Linked DNA regions of Oryctolagus cuniculus. The protein of the gene in region 1 interacts with the protein of each later gene in a pairwise test. Links are inferred from orthologs where the notes say so. Each region holds a gene or a part of one and is shown on either strand. Other genes may lie near its edges.

The links.
Region 2: the proteins of NUDT21 (region 1) and MYL6 interact in binary tests that used the Homo sapiens proteins (3 or more experiments, as listed by UniProt). The two-hybrid records come from large-scale screens. The link is inferred for Oryctolagus cuniculus from reciprocal best matches to the Homo sapiens genes NUDT21 and MYL6.
Region 3: the proteins of NUDT21 (region 1) and RPLP1 interact in a two-hybrid assay, tested with the Homo sapiens proteins (2 studies listed by BioGRID and IntAct). The link is inferred for Oryctolagus cuniculus from reciprocal best matches to the Homo sapiens genes NUDT21 and RPLP1.
Region 4: the proteins of NUDT21 (region 1) and CEP126 interact in a two-hybrid assay, tested with the Homo sapiens proteins (2 studies listed by BioGRID and IntAct). The link is inferred for Oryctolagus cuniculus from reciprocal best matches to the Homo sapiens genes NUDT21 and CEP126.

The regions. Positions count from the first base shown.
Region 1 is NC_091449.1:40,206,324-40,211,493, reverse strand, and holds the start of NUDT21 (cleavage and polyadenylation specificity factor subunit 5), read left to right. Parts: upstream 1-1,649; 5' UTR 1,650-1,838; coding exon 1,839-1,954; exon of another isoform or gene 1,955-3,325; intron 3,326-3,709; exon of another isoform or gene 3,710-5,170. Other genes in the region: prolyl 3-hydroxylase OGFOD1, read right to left, coding at 1,271-1,424. UniProt on the Homo sapiens protein: Component of the cleavage factor Im (CFIm) complex that functions as an activator of the pre-mRNA 3'-end cleavage and polyadenylation processing required for the maturation of pre-mRNA into functional mRNAs.
Region 2 is NC_091442.1:58,964,226-58,969,365, reverse strand, and holds the start of MYL6 (myosin light polypeptide 6), read right to left. Parts: upstream 3,551-5,140; 5' UTR 3,228-3,550; coding exon 3,225-3,227; intron 2,976-3,224; coding exon 2,948-2,975; intron 2,116-2,947; coding exon 1,972-2,115; intron 1,458-1,971; coding exon 1,284-1,457; intron 1,192-1,283; coding exon 1,114-1,191; intron 813-1,113; coding exon of another isoform or gene 784-812; exon of another isoform or gene 769-783; intron 67-768; coding exon 38-66; 3' UTR 1-37. Other genes in the region: myosin light chain 6B, read right to left, coding at 3,779-3,807, 3,928-4,005, 4,451-4,624, 4,832-4,975. UniProt on the Homo sapiens protein: Regulatory light chain of myosin. Does not bind calcium.
Region 3 is NC_091443.1:92,101,410-92,106,631, reverse strand, and holds RPLP1 (large ribosomal subunit protein P1), read right to left. Parts: upstream 3,466-5,222; 5' UTR 1,591-3,465; coding exon 1,519-1,590; intron 1,212-1,518; coding exon 1,137-1,211; intron 401-1,136; coding exon 283-400; intron 145-282; coding exon 65-144; 3' UTR 31-64; downstream 1-30. Other genes in the region: kinesin-like protein KIF23, read right to left, coding at 4,512-4,527. UniProt on the Homo sapiens protein: Plays an important role in the elongation step of protein synthesis.
Region 4 is NC_091432.1:93,340,787-93,345,865, forward strand, and holds the start of CEP126 (centrosomal protein of 126 kDa), read left to right. Parts: upstream 1-1,967; 5' UTR 1,968-2,253; coding exon 2,254-2,381; intron 2,382-5,079. UniProt on the Homo sapiens protein: Participates in cytokinesis. Necessary for microtubules and mitotic spindle organization. Involved in primary cilium formation.

The DNA.
Region 1 (5,170 bases):
AAAAGACGATGGTCATGAAGTTTTGGGAACCTAACACCTAAATTCTAAGATTTAGAGGAAGAATCGCTAAGTTCAGCTTTTCTTTATCTACTCAATGCTATTTTTAAAAAAATATAATATTTAAAAATACTTGTCCTTAAGATAAGTACAGGTGATGTCGGCCAACCAAGGATTCTGTCCTTTTTCTGAGTTTCAATTACTTACTGAATTGAATGTATGTTAGATTTTTAATTCACTTCCCCCAATATTAAAATAGCAGTAGCTAATAAGAGTAGCAACACTGGCTGGCAGTTCCTCTTTAGCCCTGCTTTATTTTTCCTCCAGTTATTGTCAAGGAAGTCCTTACACAGGAGTCCTCCCCACCTCCCTCCCCCACCAGGTAAGGCATAACCTCCTCTAGTTCCTTAATTTCTATCCCAGCATTTTACCCACTGCCTCCGCCGGGCTGGACTGTGAATGGCCCCTTAATCACCACCACTCAGCTACTACAAGCCAGACCCACGTGGTTTAGGTGTATTATCTCATTTAATCTCAGCAACTCAGTAGGCGTTATCCCTATACCCATCTTCTAGACGAGGAAACTGAGACGCCTGAGCGTTCGGAGCTCGCACAAAACACTCAGCTATCACCATCCAGTGCAGCCAGGGCACCCCACACGCCTCTTCAAAGCACTTAACAAGGAAAACAGAAACCACGGTCAACTCTCCCAGGGAGCACGTGACAGTCAGCAGGGTTCTAGGCTCTAAGGCGACGTCTGAAGCTGAGACTGCAATCTTCCTTCCTGTGTATTTTCCTAGGTCAGGCAGCAAACCACGTTAAAATGGGTTAAGCGCAGGCGCCTGCTCTCTCGGCAGCCCCCCACAAATGCCCAGGCTGGAACCCCAAGGGGCCGCCGCGCTCACCCGGGCCACCCGAGCAGGTGTTGGAATGTTTACCGAAGAAGTAAGTGCCTGGTTTTACTAATTCCATTCGGCATCTCTCCGAGGTAAACGCGATTAGCCCCTTTTACATAAGAAGGAATTCAAGTTTAAAAAAGTTGAATCCATAATCGCCGACTCGCAGGCCCTCTACTTTCCCAAACTCTCCGGCCTACGTTTCCTCCTCTTTCGCGTTTCTAAATCCAAACTGAATCTAGAATGAAAAGGAGTGGCAGCCGAGGGAGGAGGGTCGGAGGCGGCCAAAGTTCTCCCGGTTCCTCGTGGCCCCGGCTGCCCAGGGCTTTGCTTCAGACCCCCCGCTCGGCGCCTCAGCCGTCATAACCCCCAGTTACCGTGACTGAACGGCGCCCTGCGACTCCAGGCTTCAGCCACCTGCTTTTTCAAGGTTTCCTCCGTGACAGCTTCCGAAAACTCCGCCATCACCTCCTTCTTTCCCTTTTTCCCCACGCGGCCCGGGCCGGGCTCAGCAGGCCGTTTCCCATTCATCTCCTAACAAGATACAGTCTCACGCCACACTGACCAAGCACCTACTTCCCCACGGCGACTACAATTCCCAGAATGCCTCAGTTCCCGTGTTCTCCAGCACTACCCATCGGGAAGAACCCAATCTAAAGGAGGCGGAACCTATCCCTGACTTACCAATGGGAGCGCTGTATATTGCGGCCATCTCACTAGCGATTGGCCCAGTAGCGCTTGGCCAGGCAGGCCTCCGCCTCTCAACTTCCTGCCGCCAGAGGCCCAGGATTCACTTCCGGCGTGCGTACGCCTCCTCTTGCGCTCTCATGTTAATGGCGGGCGGCGGCTACTGAGCGGGTCGCAGATAACCGCTGCCCGCACGGGGGGAAAAAATTTCCCTCACCTCCCGATTTCTGCTCACCACCAGAGTCAGAGGTTGCCAGCATGTCGGTGGTACCGCCCAATCGCTCGCAGACCGGCTGGCCCCGCGGGGTCAATCAGTTCGGCAACAAGTACATCCAGCAGACCAAGCCCCTCACCCTGGAGCGCACCATCAACCTGTAAGTGCGGCCTGGCCTTCGCGCGCAGCCTGGGCTCGCCCCGGTCAGTGCTGCTAAAGGCTCTTCTTCCGGCGCGCCCCGGGTCGGCGGGCCCCTAGCCCCGCGAGCCTTGCTCATCCCCACAGGTCCCTGGCGCGTCTTCCAGTCCCAAGGGGTTAGAACCTTGCTTGGAAGGATTTTTCACTTCTGGCAGGGAGACTTGTTCTCATCCGCTTATGGCCAGTTATTGGTAAAAGCAAAGTTCGCTTTAATTCCTTTCCTCACCTCTCCAGAGGTAACGAATTAAAAGTGTGCTTTTCCCCCCTTCCGGTCCAGTGTTTATGCTTGGTTCGCACCTAGGCTTTCGAGATCTAGCTCGGACCTTTAAGTGTCGTATGGTATTTCGGTGTGTGAATACACCACATTTCTAGTCATCTGCTCAGAGCTAGCTCACCTGCCCTATGCGTTCACATGCCTTCTCTGCCATAGCGTCCCAGACACCGAGGGCTCCAGCTTGGGAGTGTGGATGCCGTGTGTGGGTTTTTAGACCGTGAGAGAACCAGAGTTACGCCCCCGAGAACCCGTTGTGGGCTGTGCTTTATTTTTGAGCACTTCAGAGTCCTCAGAAGCAGTCTCGCTGTAGTAGGTCATTGGCGTTTGTGATCTTGATCAAGAAATTGGCATTGTGCTGAGAGAGAGTGAGGCAGCGTGGTGCTGACAGTGGTCAGGCAAGTGGCCAGTTCGAGCTGGTCAGTATTTATGTATAGGTACAAATTTTCAAAATACTTAGAGTGCAAGGATTTGCCAAGACTGATGTTTATGGGGGAAACACTTTAAATGTTTCTCTGTTTTATAGTCAAATAAATGAATTTCCCCCTCAAAAGCAAAAGCGAATTGGAATTAGATGGTTCTATCATTGTTTTATTTGGCTTGAGATGTAGATAATAGAAATGTGAGGTTTATAGAATTTGGAATTAGTTGATAGCTGTGTGCATACAAACTATCCTTGCAACTGTTACATTCAAGTACATACTAGTTAGTAATTTCGTTTCAGTTCCCTTATAAGAGTCCCAGGAAGTTGAGAAGACAAGTGTTCTTTAGAGTGGGAAAGCACAGCTTCTACGTTGCTTTCAGTGGTGATCAGAACTAGGATCCCACAGTTTTTCTGGATTTGCTTTGATTACCGGATCAGTTTGCATGAAGCCATTATGTAGAATTAACTTGGTGAGATGATGGTGCTTTCAATGAGATGTTTTACTCTTCACTTCATTAAAGTTGTGAGTTGATTTACAGTACTTTTGTTCTGTATAAATGCTGTATTCAGAAATAATCATTGTGTCGTGAACTTCAGTTCACCTGGGTGAGGCATTATATAGAAAACAAATCTCTCAAGCCGGCGCCGTGGCTCAATAGGCTAATCCTCCACCTTGCGGCGCCGGCACACCGGGTTCTAGTCCCGGTTGGGGCGCCGGATTCTGTCCCGGTTGCCCCTCTTCCAGGCCAGCTCTCTGCTATGGCCAGGGAGTGCAGTGGAGGATGGCCCAGGTGCTTGGGCCCTGCACCCCATGGGAGACCAGGAAAAGCACCTGGCTCCTGGCTCCTGCCAGGATCAGCGCGGTGCGCCGGCTGCAGCAGCGGCCATTGGAGGGTGAACCAACGGCAAAGGAAGACCTTTCTCTCTCTGTCTCTCTCTCACTATCCACTCTGCCTGTCAAAAAAAAAAAAAAAAAAAAAAAAAAAAAAAAAAAAAAAGAAAACAAATCTCTCTTCCCCTAGTATATCTTCATTTAGGAAACACTGCATGAACACCTACTTGATAACGAGTCCTGTGCATAGCACTGGGTATGTGAACATGAGGAAAGTCACGGTGTTAGGAGTCTGGGGTGGTAGATTTTCATCTCACAGCTGAAGATTCAAGCATTTCATCTTGATGGCATCTTACTGATGTGGGAGCTGGCTGTTGGACTAGGAGTATGTTATCACTGTCCTTATTAGTTCTTTCTGACTCCAGTTGTGAGAACTAAGTGAATAGACTTGCCTGGCAGATAATGCTAGATTTCATTTCACTTACAAGCGTGAGGTACCTGTGAGGTAACTGCTGCTGCTACCGAGGACTCTGTTAGATTCAGCCTTGGGTCTGCTGGGGAAGGTTCTTTATTTTCAACTTTTGTTTATTTGTTTCAAAGAGAGAGAGTGAGATTGATCTTCAATCCATTGGTTCACTCCTCAAGTGGCTGCAATAGCTAGGTCTGAGCCAGGAACTTCATTCTGTTCTCCGACATGGGTGGCAAAGGCCCAAGTACTTGGACCATCTTTCACTGGTTTCCTGGGCATATTAGCAGGAAGCTGGATAGGAAGTGGAGCAGGAATCACAAGTGGCAACCTAACCTGTGCCACAGTGCTGTCCCCTGCCCTCCACCCTGGAGTTCTCTTGAGTTGGCAACTTTGACTTATTTACCCTTCAAGAGGAGGTGAGTAGATTAGGTATGTGAGCAGACTAGGTATGTAGTGGTTGACTATTAATATCAAGGGCTCCCCCCCCGCCTCCGTTTGAAAAGCAGAGTTACACAGAGAGAGGAGAGGCAGAGACAGAGAGGTCTTCCATCTGCTGGTTCACTCCCCAGATGGCCACCACGGTCGGAGCTGCACTGATCTAAAGCCAGGAGCCATAGAGCTTCCTCTGGGTCTCCCACGAGGGTACAAAGACACAGTGACCTGGGCCATCCTCTACTGCTTTCCCAGGCCACAGCAGAGAGCTAGATCAGAAGTGGAGCAGCTGGGACTCAAACCGGTGGCCACATGGGATACGGGCACTGGAGACAGCAGCTTTATCCACTATGCCGCAGTGCTGGTCCCTATCAAGGGCTTTTAATAGAGAAGATAACCTTGCAAATAGCAAGTGTGGCCCAGGTGTTATTACTCAAGTTCACAATCAAAGGCTCATCATTAAGGGGTTATAAGTTGGTAAGTGTGATACAGTATAAATGTGGGATTTTTTGAAACTATCTTTAAGGAAGAATTTGATCTTTACTAGGTAGGGTGCAAACCCTTCAACAGAATGAACCATATTTTGAATTGATAAAAGACATTCAGATTAGATGTGGTGGGTAGATTTGGATGAGTAGAAGGGAAGAAAAAGGGTACTAAATAGAATAAAAGCAGGAGGCTAAAAGGCTTCTTAGTAGGTTTAGAGAGAGAAAAGAGTATAGGAAAGTTGGTTTGAAAAGGAAACGTTTG
Region 2 (5,140 bases), on another chromosome or scaffold:
GGGAAAGGCACGGGCTCTGGGGATTCTGGGAGTGTCCTTAGCCGTTCAGCACCATCCGGACAAGCTCTGGGGAAAGGAAGGGCAGAGTGAGCTGGGGACTCGGCTGGGGAGGGCTGCGCCAGGGCCAGGAGACGGCAAGACTGCGAAGGTAGCACTAGAGGGGCCACGTCCATGGCAGCCAACCTGGGGCCAGTTTGCAGGAGAGCCACCTTGAGTCTGACCGGTTCTCCCTGCCCCTAGCTGCCCTCCCTCTGGCTGTTAGTCCCCCACCCCACCCTGCAGCAAGAACACAGCAGATGCAGAAGAGGTCTTGGCTACACCTACAGCTACTGTCAGCCACTGGCAGGAGGAGAGGACAGAGTTTCGGGTTAGGGTACCTCCAAGCTGCCCCAGCAGAGGGAAGGGGAGACGACAATTAAGCTATAGCTACGGAGGGGGCAGGCGGCTCGCCCCTCCTGTGCCAACCACCATGCTCTAGGGCCAAAGGCTCACCCTAAAGCAAGACTGGTGTTTGGCTGCTGAGAGTTCCCAGTCACCAGCACCCAGGGCCCTGTAAGCGAAACTTCAGAGCCCGTTCCAGGTGTGAAGGAAGGAGGTACCATTCCCCCAGGCTGTCTTCCTCTTTGAGGACCCCTCCCCTCCTAGCCAGCTCCATGCAGGAACATGCCAGAAGTCAGATGGTAGTAAGGGTGAGGGCAGGGGCGAGAGCACAGGCTGGAGAGAGACACTGGGGCGATCAACTAGAGGAGAGGCTGGGAGGAGCCGTACCCGCCCCACGGCCCGTCACCCCGACAGGATATGCCTCACAAACGCTGCAGGAAGGAAGAGACATTCGTGGTGAAGACAAGACACGGACACGGGTGAAGGGTCAGGCGCTGGGGGACACACATCCCGTGGAGTCTACGTCCCCTTCCTTCCCCACTCTCCGTGCCACGTTCCCCCTTCCTTTCCTGTCATCCTCCCCCTGACCCTCTCCCCCAACCCCTGGGCTGGGCCAGGCCAAGCCCTGCCCTTTGCCTCCTGGCTCCTCTTGGAGCCCAAGTCCAGGGATATGAAAAACCCCAAGTCTTATCCCTAAGCTGACCCCTGTGACTGCCCCAGGTGACCCCTCACCTTCGTAGTTGATACAACCATTGCTGTCCTCGTGCCCTGCCACCAGCATCTCTACTTCCTCCTCTGTCATCTTCTCACCTGCAGAGGGAAGGAGGCATTTTTTAAGGTGGGTGACAAGTGAGGTCTCTCAGAGTGAGTAGGAGTAGCTCAGCTCAAGGACAGAGCCTTACCCAGTGTGACAAGGACATGGCGGATCTCAGCACCCATGACAGTGCCGTTCCCTTCCTTGTCAAACACCCGAAGGCCTTCAACGTAATCCTCATAGGTTCCCTGGTCCTTGTTCTTGGCCACAGTCTGCAGCATGGGCAGGAAGTGCTCAAAGTCCAGCACCTTCACATTCATCTCTGTCATAAAGGAAGCATGGGGACGTCAGGCCAGGAAGTCACACGAGCTCTCAGGAGGGAACTCTCAGGATCACAGTCAGCAAATGACTCCAGGGGTGGGAGGTGGGCGCTCTGGCCTAGCAGGTAGAGCCACTGCCTGCAACATCGACACCCCATATGGGTGTCAGTTATGTCCTGGCTGCTCCACTTCCAATCCAGCTCCCTGCTGTGGCCTGGGAAAGCAGCAGAAGACGGCCCAAGTGTGTGGGCCCCTGCACCCATGTGAGAGACCTTGAAGAAGCTCCTGACTTCATGGCTTCAGCCTGGCCCAAGCCTGGCTCTTAGCCATTTGGGAAGTGAACCAGCAGGTGGAAGATCTCTCTGTCTCTCCAACTCTTTCACATAAATACATCTTAAAAAAAAAAAAAAGACTCAGCAGGGGCAACCTGGGATTTCCTAATCGAGACAAGACTTGCTTGAGCTTGGGGCCTCTGAAGCTCTCAATTGGAGTGGGGCTGCTCTCTACGACCCTCACCGTCACTCTTGGGGTTCCCCAGGACCTTGAGCACCTCGGCGTTGGTGGGGTTCTGGCCCAGGGCCCTCATCACGTCCCCACACTGGCTGTACAGGATCTTGCCATCGCCTGTCCGGTCAAACAGCTGGAAGGCCTCCTTGAACTCTGAGGATTCAGATGAAGGTCAGTACTGGGGCCGTGGGGGTTAACCTGAACCCTGCCTTGGGAGGGCCCTGATCAAGCTGAGGAAACCAGATACCTCTACACTAAGTGTCCCAGGAGGGATCCATTTCTCCTCCCAACTCAAGTGTCCCACATGAAGAATCAGCCACCCGGTCCCCTTGGTGGTCTGCTAACATCCATGTGCACACACCCTCCGCCTGCAGCAGGCCTGCCAGCCTCCCGCTACTAAAACACTACTCAGGGCAGGAATTTGCCACCGCCCAGTCTGGGTCATGTCCTTATAAGGAAGTGGGAGCAACAGCCCAAGACCTGGGTCATCCCAGCTGGCCACTTCCACCATACAAAGACCTTAGCAGAGTAAAACTATAGTCACATCCTGGGCACACTCCCCTGTCCCCGACTTCAGGGAAATAATCAGGTCACTGCCCTTCACAATCTGCACGATTCAAGCCGGGGGTGGGGAGAGCAGGGAGGGAGAGTTAAAGGAGGAGAGAAGAGGCAGATGTAGTGATTAAGGGACAGCAGAGGCACGCAGACCCTCCCCAAACCCCACACACAGCAGGCACTAGGTGACCACATACCCACACCTAAAACTCACCCAGTGCTTGGGGCTCAGATCTAGAGTAGAAGGGGAGTGAGGAAGAAAGTGAGAAAAGGAAACAGAGGACCCGGAAGAAGGGAGAAGGGACTCCAGGGATACTCTCCCGAGGGTGGGGGTGGGGGGCGGTAAAGAGATAACAGTTTGGGGTTAGGAGCCAGAGGGAGTGTCCTTCTCCCTGAAGATGACCTCAGTTGGAGCCAGAGAATGACCTACCTGCCGTCTGGTCCTCGGTGAAGTCGCACTGCTCGGAGAAGAGGTAGCGGTCAGCACCCGAACTCCAACCTCCCCCCCCCCCCCGCCCCATGCTCCATCCCCGTCCCACAAACTCCTCTTGCAGGCTGGGGCTCCGCTCCCCAGCAGCACCAGGACCCCAGGCTTTCCAACCCACCCAGATCCCCTTCGCCCGCTACCCTGGCCTGCTCCTCGTCCCCTGCCCCCGGCTGCCCGCCTCGTCCCAAACCCCACTCGGCTCCCAGGCCCCGGGCCCCACCATCTTGACCGCTCAGCTCTGCGGGATCTTTTCCTGCAGTAATGGCTCCGGCTCCGGGCCCAACCCTAGTCTTAGTACGCCCTGATGACGTCACCCCGGGCCGGCCAGCCAATGGGCGCCCCGCCCCGGGCTCGGGCGGTTACATTACTGCATTAGTAATGAGACGGGCGGGGTCGCTCGCACCTGAGCCCGCAGACGCTCGAGCGGGTGGGGGGTCGGGCGCAGCGATCTGCTCCTCCTAACTCCCAGAACATCGGAGGATGAGGTACCGGGAAGTGGGGAAAGGCGTCACTCCCCTCCAACCCCACAAAGAAAACCAGTCTGAGACCGAGGAAGGAACCGTGTCTTTATTTTGAAACAATAGGTGGCCTCCTAGTGGCAGGAACGTGCTTCCTCCTGCAGGGGGTGGGGGGAATCAGTATCTGGCCCCGCGGGATCTGTGGGAAAAAAATGAAAGTTGCCAAGCTCTGACGCCCGCGCAGTCCGCGGCTTTCTGAGCTGGCGGGAGGCGGGGGAGACTCGGCCCTCAGGTCGCAGGGCCCTACCTGTAGAGCTCAGACGCTTAGGATGTGCTTCAGGAAAGCTGCGGAGAGAGGAGGCAGAGGGTCCTCAGACCCGGGCCTGCGGACACCGCGCCCGACTCTAGGTAACCCAGGGTGCGCCCAGCCGCCCCCGAAGGGCCCCTCCCGCCCCGGCCCCTCACCCTCGTAGTTGATGCATCCGTTGCTGTCCTCATGTCCCGCCAGGACAGTCTCCACCTCCTCCTCAGTCATCTTCTCTCCTGCACCCCAGACACGGCGGCGTTGGAGCCCCGCCCTGGCGCGGTCCCTCAGGGGCCCAAGCCACACTCTTCTGGGTGGCACCTCTTATCCCACCCTGGAGACTTGCTCGGAGCCACTCCCCCCAAGGACATCCTCCCGCTGTCGCGGTAAAGCCTCTTGTTTTGCATCTCGACTCGTAACAAAGTGCCTTGCTACTGATGGGAGTTTCTAGGGACAAGGGAACTGACTCCCAGGGGTGACGGGCACACGTCTCCCACTTGTCTCCCGTTCTCTGCCCTGTGGGAGGCACGTTAGCCTCTGGAAGCGCCAGCCCTTCAGGTCCTGTCCCCAGCCCTTCCATCTCCTGCCCAGCAGGGCAGTAATCCTCTCCCTGGCTCTGCCTACCCTGGTCCACTGCTCCCCCACTCCCCCACCAGCCCTCATAGAATTCTGTCCCTGCCTCACCCAGGGTGGTGAGGACGTGTCTCAGCTCTGCTCCCATGACTTTGCCGTTTCCCTCCTTGTCAAACACCCGAAGCCCCTCCAGGTAGTCATCGTAAGAGCCTTGGTCCCGGTTCTTGGCCACTGCCTGGAGCATGGGCAGGAAGGTCTCAAAGTCCACACGCCGGGACTTCAGCTCTGGCGGTTGGAGGGAAGCATGAGACAGGTCAGTGTGATGTCGCCGGGGCCCCTCCCACACCACCTTTCATCGTGCTCAGCATTCGGGATGTTTTTCTGCCTGGTGTCTGACGGTTTCTCAGGTCCCGAGATCCAGCCCAGCATCCTTTGTCACCTTACCGACATCTAGCCACAGAAAAACCTGCGTTGTCCCAAGGATCCCCTCACCGTCACTCTTGGGGTTCCCCAGGACCTTGAGCACCTCGGCGTTGGTGGGGTTCTGGCCCAGGGCCCTCATCACGTCTCCACACTGGCTGTACAGGATCTTGCCATCCCCTACTCGGTCAAACAGCTCAAAGGCCTCCTTGAACTCTGGGGGACACAAGGAGGGATCACTGTAGTCCAGGACTCCCATCACTCCCAGACAGAGGCAGGCTCAGCAACTATGTGTGACAGCTGGGAAGAGCCAGGGAGGAAAAAAGAACTATGTGGCAGGCTTCAAGGTCAGGGCCGGGGTTAGGGGAACAGCAAGAGGAT
Region 3 (5,222 bases), on another chromosome or scaffold:
CGCACGGTCCCCAACGCCCAGCACGACCCAGAGGAGTGGAGCTCTTTATTGAACAAGATAATGCTCAGTCAAAAAGCCCGAAGCCCATGTCGTCATCAGACTCCTCAGATTCTTCCTTCTTGGCTTCCACCTTCTTCTCCTCAGCTGGAAAGGAGAGACCGCGTCAGTCCCGCTGCTCCGGACCCAGGCTCCGCGAGCACCCACGGCACCCCCGCCGCAGGAAGCCGCCCATCACCAACTCCCCTGTCAACCCCCCACCCGCCCCGCACACCCGCTGCCTACCTGGGGCGGCGGCGGCCGCGGGTGCAGGGCCTCCTGCCGGAGCGGCGCCAGCGGCTGGAGCAGCGCCCCCGGCCCCTACGTTGCAGATGAGGCTCCCAATGTTGACATTGGCCAGCGCCTGAAACACACACGCAGCATTATACAGCACTCAGGGAAAGGATAAAAAGCCGCCTCCGACTCCCAGCGGCTGGAACCACACCTGCACGGTGTCCGCCCAGGGCATCAAGCAGCTTATCTTTCCCTCCCAACAGTGACTTCTCTTGTTGATTAAGATTCCAGGCGAGGCACACTGCTGTACTGAAGCTGTCACAAGTAACCACTGAGCTTTCCAGCCCTCTCACGGCGCTTGCACTGCGCGTGCGCAGCACTAGGGGCCAGTTACCCGCACTCCTCCTCTCCTACACACGGGACAACCGGCCCCGAGTAACCTGTCAGCAGTCAGGCGTCCTGAAGCAACTAAAGACTCCTGCACGTTCTGCGGCCGGCGTGCGCTTCCCAGAATTCCCTATTTCAGACTGCTGGCCGCCTGGGCCATTTTCAAAGGGGGATTTACTAAAAGCTGACCCGGGTGCATACTGTCACTCTTGCGAAACCCCAGCACACAGGCCAACGAGAGCCTTCCAAGGCTATTATTAGCCTTCAGCGGCCTGCACCAGCTCCGGCCAGGGGCCCCGTCTCCATCGGCCTGGAACACGGGCGGCCGGCAAAGCCCAGCGCCCCACGGGAGTCCGGGAAAGCAAGCGCTCCTCTCGCTTTCTGATAAGGAACGAAGAGCCGGGTCTGACCAGCCGGAGCTTACTTAGGGGGCTGGGGCGTAGGGACAAGCGCTCCTGACCTGGTCCAGTCGGCCTTACCTTCGCGAACAAGCCAGGCCAGAAGGGCTCCACGTTGACGCCAGCTGCTTTAATGAGGGCGTTGATCTTGTCCTCCTGAAACCGACAGAGCGCCGGCTAGCGGGGCACCACCGGGGGCACAGCCACGCTCCCCGCTCCCCCCCGGACGCCCACTTCCAACCCGCGCCCGCCACCAGCGACGCGACGCGCCCCGAGCCCGGGCTCTGCCAGGGCTTCCCGGGTCACGCGGCCAGGCCGGGGGCGCCGAGCAGGGCTCCCGTGCCGCCCCCATGCCTCCCAGCGCGGGGGCCCGCCCGCCCGCGGCCCAGCACGGGGCCGGCCCGCCCGCCCGCCGCGCCGGAAGGGACGCCGGGACCGCGTGGACCGGCCGCCCCGCACTCACCGTGACGGTCACCTCGTCGTCGTGCAGGATGAGGGCGGAGTAGATGCAGGCGAGCTCGGAGACGGAGGCCATGGTGCGGGGCTGGTGGGGCTGGCGCTGCCGGGCGCGGTGCTAGTCGCCGGATGAAGTGAGGGCCTCACCCCAACGCGGCCTTAGCTTCCTCGGAAGAACCGAGCACCTTGGCGGCAGCTGAGGAAAGGGGGCTGTGCGCCTGCGCACAACTTCTTATACGGCCGCTCGAGCCAATCGGCGCCCGTGCAGGGCGGAAGGGGCGGGACGGAGGGGGGGTGACGTACGCGCCTGCGCTGTGCGCGGAGCTCGTTGTGGGAGTTTGTCCGCCGCTGCGAGATGCCGGCTCTCCGGACCTGGCCGAAGCGTGGGTCTGGCGAACCGGGACGGCGTTTAGGAAGAGGGAACATGCTCACTGGATCCAGGCGCGGCTGACTGCGCCCCGCACCGGTGTGAGAGCGTTTGAGCCGGGTCCCGGCCCTTCGGTGAATTAATACCCAGGGTATATATCGTGAAAATCTTACACCAGCGAACTAAGGAGCGACGTCTCCGAAAACTTTCAGTCAGAGAAACCACGCTGAAACCCAACAGCTGTTTCCCCAGAGCCTTGGAAAGTGGGAAACATAAAGGCTAACTTCCATATCCTAGTAAAGGGTGCCCATCAAAACCTTACTGGGGGCCGGCGCCGCGGCTCACTAGGCTAATCCTCCGCCTGCGGCGCCGGCACCCCGGGTTCTAGTCCTCCGCCTGCGGCGCCGGCACCCCCGGGTTCTAGTCCCGGTCGGGGCGCCGGATTCTGTCCCGGTTGCCCCTCTTCCAGGCCAGCTCTCTGCTGTGGCCCGGGAGTGCAGTGGAGGATGGCCCAGGTGCTTGGGCCCTGCACCCGCATGGGAGACCAGGAGAAGCACCTGGCTCCTGACTTCAGCTGGAACTGTGCTAAACCAAAGCCAGGAGCCGGGTGCTTCTTCCAGGTCTCCTCCACGAGTGCAGGGGCCCAGCATTTGGACCGTCTTCTACTGCCTTCTCAGGCCACAGCAGAGAGCTGGATGGAAAGTGGAGCAGCGCACATATGGGATGCCGGCACTGCAGGTGGCAGCTTTACCCACTATGCCACAGTGCCGGCCCCGTGACCATCATTTTTAAAATCTGAAAACTATGAAGAGGCCACCTTTGTGGTGGCATCCGCACCCCTGAGCCCTGGTTGAGTCCAGGCTCCTCCACTCCCCATCCAGCTCCTTGCGAAAGAAGCGAGATGGCCCAAGTATTTGCGCCCCTGGACCCACGCGGAGACCCTGCAGCTCCTGGCTCCTGGTTTTGGCTGCCTTTGCCCTTGCGGTTGTGGCCATTGGTGGAGTGAACCAGTGGATGGAAGATGTCACTCTGTAACTCTGCGTTTCAGATCAATGAATTTAAAAACCTTATGGACCATCAAAGGCAACCTTAGAAGAATGATGGGACGATCCTACAGTCGATAATTCTAATGATGTAACTTCAATCAAAATTCCATTAAGGTTTTCAATAGAATCTGACAAGCTGACCTTAAATTTTAAATGTAAGGATCAAAGGCCAGTAATAACCAGGACGATTTTTTAAAGCAGACAGACTTAATTAAAATCCAAGAACACAAACTTCACCACTGCAATCCCTGTGCCCAAAACATGGCACATAGAAGATGCGCAAGTATATATTAGATCAATGTTTCAAAGTGTTACTGGGATGCCTAGAGATGCATGGATCAGAATAGAATAGAAACCCAAAAAACGCACCTTCATGGGAACTTGGCAGTGTCAGAACTATAGTTTTACAAATCCAAAGTGGATTGGTTGGCAACAGGTGACAGAACAAGTACCTGAGAATCCTCTCTGCCTCTGAAATAAGTGAAAAATCCTGGAGTTTCTACTGAAATAGGAAGCATTCTAAAAATACATGTAATTTTCCTATTACACTTTGAGTGACACGTGGATTGTCTTTCTCCTTAGCCTTTGAAACTGCTTTTGGTCAGGACTAATATCATCCTTTCAATATTGATTTTAAAAATGCACAAACTATCATGTTAAAAAGTTCAGCCTTAAAAGAAATGCAAACTTAACAAGCAAACAGGCTCACTCAGGCAAGAATAGCTATTTCACCAGGATTTTCCACAGTGCTTTCTGTTTTGTGCCAAACTGTGTTTTCTGTTTAAATGTCTGGGAGAGCGCACTTATTCTGTAGGAATTATGGTTGTCAGACAAAAAAGGCATTTCCCATTTAACAGATTACTTCCCGTGGGCATTTTCCAGGGCTTTCTTCTCATTCAGTTCACAAGGAAGAGTGCCAGGTGAAAGCGAGACGCGTGCTTGCTGCGGCTAGTGTGTGTGTGAAATGAATGACCATCACACCTCTGTGGTTCTGAGTGCTTTTTATTTCAATTCTTTTGGCATATCTAAATGTCAGAAAGTGAGTATATATATACAAAATGCAAAACACCTTCTGAAAATGGTTTTATTATGGGCCAGTCCCGATATCTTTATTTTGAAAGTTTCAATTGTCAAATATGTCTAAAGTGCATTCTTGCAGCTAATCAATAGCAGCATTTGTTTCGTTTATAAAACCCAAGAAATACTCAGACCAGAGCTGGAGAAGTCACAATAAAAAACGAAGCGTGATCTAGATATTACCTTAATTATACCAAGACAAACAGCTGTGTGAATTAGTTTATAAGTCCATAAGAAATATACAAGAAACAGCATTATAAAAAGTCCATACAGCAATGAGCCCGGGGTCTTGCTCTGCTGGGAATATTAAATACGGTGAGGCACATAATATACAAGGTCTGCTGACTGCTGCGTGTCTTTGGAACCATCAGGGAAGCGCTGCTCTAGGCCAGTGTCTGACAGGGCTGAGGTCTGGGACGTCCAGCGAGGCCGCAGGAGGCTGCTCTCCGTGGCTTCGGAGCAGTCACCAGCAACAGTGACGACGCTCTGCCGCTACTGGGGCTGTCTTGTTCATGGCTTCTTGCGCCTAAAACCAAACCCAACATTTAGTGTGGAATTTGCAATTGGTGACCCCTTTGTAGTAAAAGAAATCTTTTGTAGGGCTTTGAGCTCTGTTTATCATGGGAAAACTCAAGTCCTGAGAAAGGAAACAGCATGTAAGATACGCTTATCTAGTGTTACATGTAGACCACAGGACCTCCCATCTTTCTCCTGTCCCAACCATTTTCCAAACTGCCTAAGGAATACAAGAGCTAAAAATACTGCACAGGGGCTGGTGCTATGGCACAGTAGGCTAAAGCCTATCCTGCAGGGCCAGCATCCAATACAGGTGCCGGTTCAAGTCCCAGCTGCTCCACTTCCACTGCAGTTCCTCTGCAGATGTGCCTGGGAAAGCAGTAGAAGATGGCCCAAGTGCTTGGGTCCCTGCACCCATGCAGGAGACCCGGAAGAAGCTCCTGGCTCCTGGCTTCAGATCAGCTCAGCTCCGGCCATTGCAGCCATTTAGAGAGTAAACCAGCAGAAGGAAGAGCTTTCTCTCTATTTCTCTAACTCTATCAAATAAACAAAATAAATCTTAAAAAAAAAAAAAAAATAGTACACAGGCAGATATTTGCAAAGAAGGGGTTTCCACTATGTCAAGGAAATCCAGTGTTTGAGTTTCATAGAAGACGAAGTGTGGCCCCATCACACCGTACGTCCTGCGGCTCAGCTGCACTGATC
Region 4 (5,079 bases), on another chromosome or scaffold:
ACAGTGAGAGAGAGAGACAGAAAGGTCTTCCTTTGCCGTTGGTTCACCCTCCAATGGCCGCCGTGGCCGGTGCGCTGCGGCCTGCGCACCGCACTGATCCAAAGGCAGGAGCCAGGTGCTTCTCCTGGTCTCCCATGAGGTGCAGGGTCCAAGGACCTGGGCCATCCTCCACTGCACTCCCGGGCCACAGCAGAGAGCTGGCCTGGAAGAGGGGCAACCGGGACAGAATCCGGCGCCCGGACCGGGAGTAGAACCTGGTGTGCCGGCGCCGCAAGGCGGAGGATTAACCTATTGAGCCACGGCGCCGACCCCATTTAACTTCTCTTAACATGCCTGGAAGACTGCAGATGATGGCACAAGTACTTGGGTCCCTGCCACCCATATGCCAAACTCTGATGGAATTCCTTGCTCCTGGCTTCAACCTTGGTCAGCCCAAGCTGTTGTGGACCTTTGAAGAGTGAATTAGTGAATGGAAGATCTCTCTTCCTCCCTATTCCCCATTACTCTATTCTTAGAATAAATAAATCTTTTTTAAAAATCATGTTTCTTAACACAATGAAAGCAAGCAATAAGGTAGCTAATAGTTACAAGATACCAACTAATAATATAGCAAAAACCAGATTTTCAGGAAAACGTAAATTGCCTAAAAACTCCAAACTGCAACCATGATTTTCTCATTTTATTTGCATTTTGCATTGCCCTACTTTGCCAACTCACAAATCCTGAGAGACAGAGTTGTGATATTAATAGCAGGAATAGAATCAAGGACAATGCCTGCAACTAGATCAATTTAAAACCTGCCATGATAGCGAATTGTCCAAGTGTACATGTTTAGTCTTTCTTTGTCAGGATTATATATTCTACCTTCTTGGTACAATCCTAAAAGGGACTTTTGTGTGTTTTGTGCTTAAAATCAAAATTGAATTTGTTGTGGGACTTTAAAATCTCAGTCCCCAGAACATATTCCAATTTGAGTCATTGCATCCAAGTTTACAAAAACTTGGTTCTAAGTAGTTTTAGCTGGAAAAGTTCATTAGTTCAACTCTAAAAATGAAAATATTATCGTCTCTTGGCCTTTTGGCTAAGATCATGTGTAGTATCTGCTCTTATCAGTTTAAAAATGAAATCATTGATTCACAAAGACAGAGAGAATGGTGGGTAAGTGATCTTTATTTGGTCTGTACATTCTGCTTCCAAACAGGAGTTTTCCATAAGAAAAAAAAAAGAACTAGATAAAAATACAATCAGAAGTGCTTTTATGTTGGACTCCAACAAAAAGTTTCAACCTTTTTCCAAATTTTCATTTATATAGCCTTTAAATTCATGGTTCAAAAATACATTTAACTTAACTCCTGGAACAATTTCAATACAATGGCTTAGTATATCCTCCCATGAAATTATGCGCTTAAGTCTGGACGCCTTTCCAGGCCGCCTTTGCTGTATTGGCCCATTCCCAGAGTCTGGCAGCAAGGCCAGAAATCTGAAATGTAGGCCTTCGAAGCAGGGCGATGGCCAGGAAAAGGACTACAGAGAGAATGGCAGAAGCATCATCGAGTGGGTGAAATGAGTGCAGGGAACGCAAACTTACACTGCACAAAGGCTTTTTTTTAAGAGATGATGTTTGGAAATAGTGATACCCCACACAGGATTCAGTAGTTAACAACAAACCCGACCCTTAATTAACCCAGAGATTTCAGAATCTGCCCTGCGGCAGATGCCTGGTCTACGGATTTTGCGTCCCAATGTCTTCCATCCCTCTCTATACTGCCACAAAAACAACCTCAAGAAACGGGAGGTAGAAGGCCCTGAGGCGCAACACAGTGGTTCTAGTGCAAACATGCGGCCCCAGGGGACGCCTCGGGTTCTACCCTAGGACCGCCAGGCCGCTGAAGGCTGGCGCGGCCGCTGGCGCCTCCTATTGGCTGCCTCGAGCGCGCGTTCCGCCCCGCGCCGCGCTCCGCCCTGGTGTCAGTTGCGAAGGACGCGGCGTCGGTTGGTTACCAAGATGGCGACGGCTGGGAGACTGCTGCCACCTTTGCTATTGCCAGGCAAGGTCTTCGCAGTTGCAGCAGCTGTCGCCACCACGGTCACGAGCGCCTCTGCGTGGGAGTCAGGGCTGCCGCGGCCAGTCTTTCGGCGCCCGTGACGCGGGGCTTGAGAGAAGGCTTGTGGGGAGGGGCCGAGGACGAGGAAGCCGGAGCTGCTATGAGGGAGGCGCTAGGGGCTGGCGAGGAGGTGGCGCTGAGGTGAAGGATGCTGACTGGGAGGCCGGGAGCCAGAAACGCGGTCCCAGGACTGGGCACTGACTCCTCCGACACCTGCGGCAGAGCGCCCCTCAGCCCCCAAGAGAGCGGCGGGCGTCACCGACCTGGCGCTTACCTGTATCCTTCCCAGCCTGTGGCTGCCGGGGTGGCGGTGTTGGCGACGAGGCAGGTGTTTTCCCCATAACTCCCCATGACCGCGGCCGCCAGGTGATGCAAATTAGCAAGTCATCTTAATGCGGGTGTTCTCATTGCCCCCACCTAATCCCGTTCTGCGCCCCCTTCCCCCTCCGCCCTGTTGTCCTACCCCATTCATCAACTTCTTTGTAAAATGTCGGGGATTTTTCAAATAGAGAAACCGTGTATTCTGTAGGAGTTATTTTTGCCTTCTAGAATGATGCCTTTATGTTCTTTACTTACATATTAATCACTTCTTGGTTAATCGTGCCACTTAGAGAAGTGGGAAAATAGAAGGAGGTTTTGCTGTCCTGAAGAATCCGTGAGAACAATTAACCTAGCACGTCTAGATCTGTTTAGCAGAGCTACTGAAGCCTAGCCCTGCTTGGTGATTTGTTTTGTTTTCTCCCTGTGCAGTCTGTTGTCACAGAGACAGCAGAGAAGAAATGAGAAGGAAGGGACCCGAGCTTCCCAAAACAGATTGCCTGGGACTTTTCCCTCATTTTTAGTTGAAGCCAACTTTGATGTTGCTGTTGGTTGCCTTGTAGATAAGCGAAAGAGTTTTGTTTACACAGTTTGCAAACCATGTTTATTCCTTCAGAGACTGTTGTGATGATTAGAATTTAACGTTTGAATTCTCCGGGGACTAGTTGGCAGGGATAATAGTGCCTAATCATCTTCATTCTTGTCTTCTCTTTCCAAAGTAACCTTTATTTTCTTATCCCTATTGTCTCCAACTTTTTCTGGGATGTCCTTTTAACTCTGTTGGAATTTTAACAGCATGTAAGCAATTTGTATTGATTATCTGCTTTTTGGCAGGCTCTGTTCTAGATTCTAGGGATATAAATTAATAAAAAAAGAGAGGTAGGTACAGAGTTTTACTAAGAGTAAAATATCCCTCTTCTGAGCATAATTTCCTGCACGTACGATCCCTTCTATTTCTTTGGTGAAGTTTCCAAAATTATATCCTGCAATAGCAGCTTCTACTTCCTCTCATCTGTTCATAAATAACTCCACTGAGTTTGACTTTTGCACTTGCTACTCTCAAAAATATACTCTGATATGAACTGGGTTATTTTTCTGTATTCATTTGACTTTGCCCTTGTGACATTGTATTTTCCTGGACACCAAACTCCTATTACACTGAACCTGATTTATCATGAAATCAACAGGGACATGGTAAACGGTTCGTGGACAAGGTGTTTCTACTATTGTCATTAATTAAATGATCAAAGATAAAATTGTATATGCAATGTAATACATACAAACACCACAGAAAATACTTGTAAATATAAGGGGACTACAGAAAGTTCCTGGAAAATCTGCTATCATTCACATAATAAATATGAGGTCTCTGCTAACATGACCCCAGCAGTAGATGCTCAGTGAATTTCAAGGCAACATGTTCTATACTTACCAGCATATTTATGACCCTTTATCTTTATGCACTAAAATAAATTATCTTTTAATTCTACTTTTTGACAAACTTTTTGAAGAACCCTCATGGAATTCAGCAGTACATCAAATGAACACACCAAATAGGCTTTATTCCAGAATTATAATGATGGTTTCCTAAAGAGAAATATATACTTTAAAATATAAAGACAAAATGTATTGTTAAGTTGTAAATTATCATTTCTTTTTTAGGTTTATTTATTTTAAATTTTTTTATTTAAGGTGACCATTTTTAATGTATTTATTGCAAGGTGTCTGGCGCTTAACAAATCTTCCCAGGCAGACGAATCGAATCATTAATTCACAGGCTTTTATTGGGATTCCGCTCCCAGGCGAGATTCCCCAGTCCCAACAGAGCGGGGGCGGGGAAGTCATGCATCAGAGGTTGGGAGGGCTCCTTTTATAGATTCAGGGCATGGGGGTTAAAGGTTGAGGCGGGTCTGAACCTCAATGGTTGACCTTTAGGCCCCCGCAGGGACCTTGACAAGAACTTTTCTTCCCCAGAAGTACAGGTAGGGACTTCTCCATTCCCAGAAGTGTAGGCCTTCCTTCCATGTGGATCCCAAAGCTACCATCCCGACCTTTTGATGATAGGAAAAGGGGTGACGATGAGTCTCTCTGGCTACTTCCTGCTGACTGGGGACATTGTCTACAGGGGCCCGCTGTGGGTATCTTGGGACTCCACAGGGACAGGCATGTATGGATGGAGAAGCATCTGGTTGACTGGTTGCTGAAGGCCTTGGTTCATTCCATTATCACCTGATGTAAACGCTTAAACAGACACTGTAGTATACAAGTCAAGGTGAGAATAACAACCAATGATCCTAAGAGTGGCATTAACCAGGTAATGAGAAGATTTCATAGAGGAGAGGAAATGAGGGGGGGGTCTCTGGACCCTTGTGAGGTTTGTTTGATGGACATGGTTTAAATCTAATCCCAGCCAAGACCAGGAGAAAGGCCACTCAACTTTTGCAGGTAGAGGGGTTTGTCTGTAGAGAAATTCTGAATAATCATACAACATTAAGTGGAGGAGAGGACCATCAGTACACACAGGTTGGGAGCAGAGCCACTGATGTTAGAGTAGAGGTTATTATTACAAAGGAATGAGGCCCAAGTAGGCTAGACAGTGTCTAGAACAAAGGACAGAGTCATTATTAGAGGACTCAAGAAAGGTGCTGTCTAAGCC